2 linked regions of the Rhinolophus ferrumequinum genome follow. Each later gene encodes a partner of the first gene's protein in a complex. Links are inferred from orthologs where the notes say so. Each region holds a gene or a part of one and is shown on either strand. Other genes may lie near its edges.

Evidence for each region.
Region 2: FLCN (region 1) and LAMTOR3 share a complex: the UniProt entries of both Homo sapiens proteins name them as parts of the lysosomal folliculin complex. The link is inferred for Rhinolophus ferrumequinum from reciprocal best matches to the Homo sapiens genes FLCN and LAMTOR3.

Annotation. Positions count from the first base shown.
Region 1 is NC_046304.1:1,500,402-1,504,150, forward strand, and holds the start of FLCN (folliculin), read left to right. Parts: upstream 1-1,263; 5' UTR 1,264-1,666; coding exon 1,667-1,780; intron 1,781-1,841; exon of another isoform or gene 1,842-2,775; intron 2,776-3,749. UniProt on the Homo sapiens protein: Multi-functional protein, involved in both the cellular response to amino acid availability and in the regulation of glycolysis.
Region 2 is NC_046288.1:51,295,179-51,298,927, forward strand, and holds the start of LAMTOR3 (ragulator complex protein LAMTOR3), read right to left. Parts: upstream 2,485-3,749; 5' UTR 2,301-2,484; intron 2,270-2,300; exon of another isoform or gene 2,163-2,269; intron 2,009-2,162; 5' UTR 1,972-2,008; coding exon 1,963-1,971; intron 1-1,962. UniProt on the Homo sapiens protein: As part of the Ragulator complex it is involved in amino acid sensing and activation of mTORC1, a signaling complex promoting cell growth in response to growth factors, energy levels, and amino acids.

The DNA of each region.
Region 1 (3,749 bases):
ACCTGGGTTCAGCACCGTGGATTTGTTCTCCTTTAACGTTGCTGTGAGGCTGCACTCTTTGCCTGCCCCTCGTCCCCATCCCCCGTTTTTGCCTCACCTCTGGTTTAGGGGTGAGGGTGTGTGTCATAATTCCTTCTTTCCCAGGAGACATTCCGAGGGGGGCCTTCTGATGAGCTTCAGGCCCAGATCAGTGTTCTCCAGGGAGGGGAGAGGACATTTGTCTCCAGTTGGGTGGGTGTTGGCGGACACATCCTATTGCCTGGAAGAACGTTTAGCCCCGGGATAGGCTCCTTGTGGGTTGAGGTGCACGGGGGTCCTCAGCAGCCATCGGATGCAGGGGGCAAGGAGGGGCTGCTGAAAGGAACTACTGGTTCTCCAGTCCCTGGTGACATTCCAGGGTGGCAAGATGGACTCCATGTCACAGCAAAGAACATGATGGACACACGACTTTATCAGTGTCATCAAATAAGAGTAATAGTGGCACAAGTAGCATGTGAAACTGTTGGCTCTTCCAGTGTTATACGTCAGGGAGCTCTGTAAACAGAAATCCAAGTGAAGTCGGTAGATAGAGTAGAGCCACCCTGTGAGTGGGTCTGAGCAGGAAGTAATCCCCTGTGGAACTTTCCACCTTGGCTTGCTGGAATCCCAACAGGCTCCCCTGTGGGAGACTAGTTAGAGAAGCTGCAGGGGATTCTGATGCAGACCACTGGTTAAGAGCCATTTTAATACCTCAGTTAATTGCAGAGTATTCATACTTAACTGTTATCTTTAATCCTCTGTGGTCTTGTGAGAAGACCACAGGAAGTGGGGATTTAAATAGGTGCAGAGGGGGGGTGGGGGGGGACGCACCACAGAAGTGGGAGGACGGTTGGGACATCAGCGTCCAGGTCAGGCTCAGCCACTGTGGGAGCCGGACACGAAGAAGGACGCTGCTGCTTCTAGGTATTTGAGAACTTGCTTTGAGTATAATGTTGGATGGGTGAAGGTTTCTGCTTCTTCCTTATATTCTGGAAAGCTTGTTGGAAAGGAAGAACTGTTAGGCATACGCAAACCAGATTGTTTTTTTTCAGGAATGGGAGCATGAATAAAGAAGTGACCTCATGCTGCCCAGAATTTTGATTCCACTAACTGAGAGGTGGGGTTTGGCCCTCTGTTTCTCAGCTTTAGGGTGGTGCTCAGAGAGGTAAAGTAACGTGTTGACATCATGTGGCTGGTAAGGGCTGGAGACAGGCTTTTGTCCAACGCAGAAGGTCTGTGGGAGCAGAAGGTCTGTGGGACTCCGGAGCTAATTGTTATTTAGAGTACCCCACTGCCTTATAACCAAAAGTAGGACTTACATTGTACTTTTTTATGTTTCATATTTAACAAAAATATTTAAATATAACTATGTTTCAAGAGAGCCTTTATGAAGTACTGCTATAGAGGTGTAACTTCAGTCAAGGCTTTGTGTGCAGTGTCAGCCTGCTGTCAGCTACTGCTCAAAAGAGAAAGGCCTGCTAAGCCATGCAGAACCACTGGAACCCCCAAATCCTCTTTTGTGTTGCTCTAATTTGAGGTTGGCTGTAAGCTGCTTGAACTTTTTTTCATGCCACAAAGTGCATTGCCCTTAGAATTAGCTCTGGTTTTTTTTCTTTACCTAGAAAATGTCAGGTCTTAGAGCTGAAGTATGGCTGCCGTTGTCCTCCTTGACTCAGTTGGAAATGGCCTTGCATGCACTAGCCGAGGCAGGATGAGGGACGTGGTTCTGCTGAGGATAGAAGTTCGTATGGATGCGCTGCAGGTGGGGTGACCTGGGCCCAGGGCTGCTTTCATGTGGACGTCTTGCCCGAAGCCGTCTTTATTTCTCTTCTTTGTTTCTCCGAGGGAGACGTGGCCCCTTGTCCAGGGTGAACTCCTCTGCCTTTAGTTTGAGTCCCAATACCTGTCTTCAAGGTTCTTATTCCCTCAGTGGTTGCCTCACCGCCTCTTCCACAGTGGATTTGAAACCATTATTTTCCTTGACCTCCCTGTAAGGAGCCCCGTGGAACCTTTCTGTCAATTTGGTTTATTTGGTTCTGGTGACACGAGGCTCCTGGACTCGGGTTCCCCAGGGTTGCGTTTTTGAACCTCTCCTGCCTGTCGATACCCTTGATGAGCTCTCCACTTCTGTGGCAACAACTGTCATCTCTCTGTGGGCAGCTTCTAAATTCCCTCGTTTCTCCAACGCCTAGTGATTTGGTCCTTCCCGTGTGTTGGGAGCTGCTGTAGACAACACAAAGCCTCTCCCTTGGGGACGTTCATCCCACTGGAATCCAGCGGGGCGGGCATCGAGTGGTGGGCTGGAAGTGGGAGGTGACAGCTCTTCTGGGTGGGCTGACCGGGAGCTTCTCCTAGAAGGGGACGCGCAAGGAGACGCAGACTGGTGAGGAGGGGCGAGGCAGGAGAAGGCCGTGGGGGGTGTTCAGGGCCTTTCTCTCCAGGCCTGCCTTCTCTGATCCTGCGGTCCAGAATCTCCACGGAACTCGCAGGGCTTTCAACCCCATGTTCTCCCAGCTCTTAAACTCTGTCTTCTCTCCCACTGCCCACCTCCTGCAGAACAATCTACCCATGCCCCGGGTTTCCGTACCTGCCAGCCACCCGTCTCCCCATGTCTGATCGCTAGGCCTGACTTGCTGTCAGCACACCTGCCATTCTCTTCATATGTCTGTTCTGTGCCGGCCTCTGCCATTCCTGCTGTAACCACTTGAGTGTCAGCCCCTGCCCACATCAGCTGAGAGGTTGATTGCAAAACATCAGGTGGGTGGCACAGGGGGCAGGCAGGCTAGGCTGTGAGCAGGGCCAGCAGCAGGGAGGCTGCCCGGAGGCACATCCAGGGACACAGTGCAAATAGATTTTGAGGGTGCTGTCCGCCAGGGGACACCCCATCCCTGCTGTGCGTGTTCACACTGGCTGCTGCTTTGCCTCCTTTCTCGAGGTTCAGCGTCCCAGACAGGCACCTGTGACTGGCCGCGCCACGGCCGTGCCCGTGCTGCTTACGGGGTGAGGACAGAGGATTGTGATCTTTGGCTCCACAACGGGGGATGGGGTCCCCATAGGAGAAGAGGGTTTAGAACCTGGCCACTGTCCACTCCTCAGACATTCCGAAACTTAAATGATTCCCCATTGTTTTGAGCAAGGCTGTCCGATAGAACTTTCTGTGATGATGCACATGTTCCATGATCTGCACTGGCCTTTTAAAATGGTGACTGAGCCACGTGTGACCAGTGAGACTGAGGAAAGGGGCTTTTCATTTTACTTACATGTAAGTTGCCACATGACTCATGGTTACTGGATTGGACAACATGGGTCTAGAGAATACACGTTCCCTTTTTAGCTTGGCTTTCAGGCCCTTCTGTGTCACACGGGTCAGGCCAGCTGGGCTGCCACTGTCCTACATCTATGGCTTTGCTCCTGGGTTCTCTCATTTCCGGACCTCTCCTGCCTGTCAGCCGCGTGGACATGTTCCCACCTGGAAAGCCTTGCCCGATTTTCCCGACCAGAGGGCACTCGTGTCTGCGTCCCCATCCCCTCCCTCAGCGACGGACAAGCTGCTGACTTGCTGCCCAGGCCCAGCCCCCACGACCTCCTCCAGGACTCGGCCTCTCCCGTGATTCTGTTTTGCTCACTTTGTCTCTGGAGTAACCCGAGTTTGCTTCACTGTCTTTCGTTCTCTGTCCCCCTTGCCAGCTCTTTCTCTCCCTCACATCTAAGCTCTGGAGGGCCCCAGACCC
Region 2 (3,749 bases), on another chromosome or scaffold:
CAATTAAAGAGCTCTACATAGACAAATCAGATATCTGTGGTTTTGAACCTCTAATCCCTACTATTCTCCAAACCTGAATATTCATTTTATTCCATATTATCACTACCAGTTTACCTTTGCTCTCATTTTAAACACACACAAAAAAACCTCAACTCATCATGTTTCATCTGAAACCCAGATTTCCTCAATCTCTTTTCGTTTTCACTAATGGGACTACCAAACCCATTAATTCAGGTTTGAAACTAAGAGTAATACCTAACCCTAACCTCACGTTTGTCACTTTTAAATCACTTGTGAAGTCAAATGTTTTTAAACCGATCTCTTCTTCTCCTTTTCAACTGACATTACAGTTTATTTTCATTCTATTATTTACGACTTGCACTAGCTTCCTAGTTGGTATGCTGATCTCCCGCATCTATTCCATACAGGTCTACATGGTGTCAATAATCCTATTATTCTCCTTCTCTAAAACTGTAATTGTAGGGATTCTCAACCTTGGCTATGGATAACACGTGAAAAGCTTCAAAAAAAAAAAGGCCACTGTTGACTAGATGGCTAGGTTAGAGGTGCTCCCCAGATTACCACCTATTCAGCCACGGTTGAGAACAAATATTGAAATGGCTCTCCACTGTTCACTGAATTATGTACAAACTCTTTAGACATTTGAGCCTCTACAATATGGCCTACAACTAAGTTTACAGTTCTGCTTCCTACTGCTGTCTCACACAGATCCTCAGCCCTAGCTAAATTAAACTACTCACAGCTCTTCCATACACAACCTTTCCCTTTCCTATGTAATATTGTTCATGCTATTCATTCTACTAGCAATATTCTCCTTCTGAATCTTACTTTTTAAAACTGCTACTCATCATTTAGAGTTAACCTCAACCACCAAACACTCCAAATAGGTTTTCCTGATAGACACAAACCAGATGTAATCCCTCTCTCCTTTGAATTTTCACACAATAATGCATGCATATCTGATCATTTGTCTACTTTTTAAAACTGTAAAACCCCTAAGAGGAATTATACCATAGTCCTCTTCATTTCACCCACAGTCCTTATTATAACAACCTTTTGGCTGCTCAATAGATATTTAGTGATTTGATTATGCCTGAAGGATAATGTCTCAAAAACATAATGGAAGACACCCAAAAATGTAGTGATAAAGGCATGAAAGTTGCTTAATGTTGAAACACATAATCTTGCAACGTAAAAAGAAAAATCAGATTCATATTAATGCTGAATGACTAGCAAAATGGTTAAGTGCACTGACTCTGGAGCCAAAATACCTGGGTTGGTATTTTCACTCTTAGTACTAGAGTAACCTGAGGCAAGTTACTCGATCTTTCTGTGCTTTAGCATCCTTATCTATGACACAGGGATAATGATCATGCCTACCTCCTAAAGCTGAGAATGAGCGTATGTTCAATATTTATAACACTCAGGATGTACGTAAGCAAAGTAACATATGTAAAATATAAACATTAGTACTAGTATTAATTTCCCGCTGTTTCTAGTAACTAGAACAATTAAGTTCCTTAAACTTAGAATCTGGCTTTTACTGCTGTGCTCAAGACTTGTCAGTTGAAAAATCATCTCAAATGGCTCCAATGAACCCAGAAAGACATCATGACCACTTGCTGGGAAAAAAAAGGATTCCAAGCAGCAAAGCACCATTTAGAAATTCAAATGGTAAATATTCGGAGCCTCTTATGCCCGCAGGGCTGTGGAGTGAGCACGGGCACCTAAGTGTCCTACAGGCCCATGCAAGGCACAAACTCACGGCCCCAGGAAATCCATTCATATTAATCTCTAACTCCAGATCTTGGAGACAATAACTCAAGGTGTAGAGGGGCAAAAATAAAACAAATTTCTCTTTGGGAAGCACAATCTTTCCCCACCCAGTATGCTCCAAACTCCCCACCACTTGCTTCCTCTTGTGCGGGGGTGTTAACTCACATCCGCCATGACGAACCCCTTTCTCCCGCAGGTTCAATATCCACGCCTGAAAAAGAAACTCCTGGTGAGGAAATCTGGGTTTCAGCGGGGTCAGCTGTCATCAGGGTCAGGCAAGAATCCGCGGCTCTAGGCCTGGGACCAGAGAGATCGCAGGGAGACACACTGCCCAGATACCCACAAGAACAGCCGGGGTGCCTTACCTCAGCCCACTCCGCCTCCCCAGCCCCCAAGGTCTAAGCCCGAAATAAAGCGGAAGGGGCATCCTCTGCTCTTCCAGCTCACCGCCCGTAACACCCGCGGGCCCAGGCCTGAACACCGAGCAACGTGGCTCCAGTTACCCGGTTTCTGGGCTGCCCGGTTCTTTGGGTCGCAGGGCTCTGGGCTGCCTGCTGTCCTTCAGGGACAGCGTCAAAGACAGGTCTTTCTGAAAGCTGCCGTCACATGACTTACGACCTCCTCTCCGCTTGAAGCAGCACTTCCTACACCTCCAACGCCGGGTACCATGGGATTTCCGGGGACGCGCGGGGGGAACTGGGAGCGTGCGACTGTGCGTCGCACCCCGCCCCACCCCGCCCTCCCGCGGCTCTCCACAGGCTGCCTCGTGCGCCTGCGCAGACACCAGGTGTTGGAGAGAGGTTTCCTGTCAGGTTGCTGCGCTGTAAAGCTCCCCAGGAAAAGCATGTAAGAAGACATTTTTGTGCGGAGAGTGTATGAATTGCCTTAGTATTTCAGAGTCCGTTATCTTAAAACCTGTTCTTTTAGATCAAAGACTTTGAAGCTGAACAGCAAGCACCAGATGACACGTGATTAGAAGTCCCAGCTCCAAAGGTTCCAGACCCCGATTTCTCTTTTGGCTTTCCCGTTTGCCATCGACTCACTGCTCTTTACTCAAGGTTTTGTGTAGATTGAATTGAGGAGCCATCCTGGGTTTTCTGGAGTTCTCAGTTATGTGTGAACTTCAACATATGCAGCTGTTGGGTAACCTTTATTGGCTCCAATTAGAAGGCTGTGCCTGTAAAGACTTTCCATATTGTTTTCTGTTTGGTGTCTTGTGTGCACCTTTAGCAAAAACCTACAGTAGGTGGCAGGTAAATGAGGTCTACAGGAACTTGTTCAACACTGATCTTCAACTCCAATCCCCAACAGGAGTGCAAAAATAAGTAACTAGCTCAAGACACGGTGAAAAGAATTGGATACTTACTTCCTCGTTATTCCTGAGAAGATGAAATGGTAAACTACAAAGCTCCCACATATTACAAATAACTTCATTATTACAAGTGAATTTAACAGTTACGTAGCAACTGACATCACTGAAGACCACTTCCTTTTCCTCATTTAACCCCTTCGATTTCTTAGCTTCTGGGACACTGCTCTTTCTTATTTTAGGTCTTCACTTACTCTAGTTTCCTAACTCTTAAATGATGGCATTTAAAGCTTGTCTGGTTTCTCATCTCTGTTTTTCTAATTCCACAGTGTCCTGAGAATGTGAGTTCTAATTCTGCACCTTTCTTCTGAGTTCTAGGTTCACATTTTCAGCTGCTTGTTGGATGCTGGATAAATATTTCTACATACATACCTTACTGTCAACTCTAATTCAAAAGCTCTAAAGGTTCTCCAATAAATCTGTTCCTCCTGATGTATGTCTGTATTGGTTTCATAATTCTAGTTAGGTGTCACATTTGCTTTCCATCATGTTCTCTTTTCTTTCCTAACCATGATGCTTGCATCTCTATTTTTTCAATTCTTAGTTCACAGCATTTTTCTATTCCGCAAAACTGTATCAATAT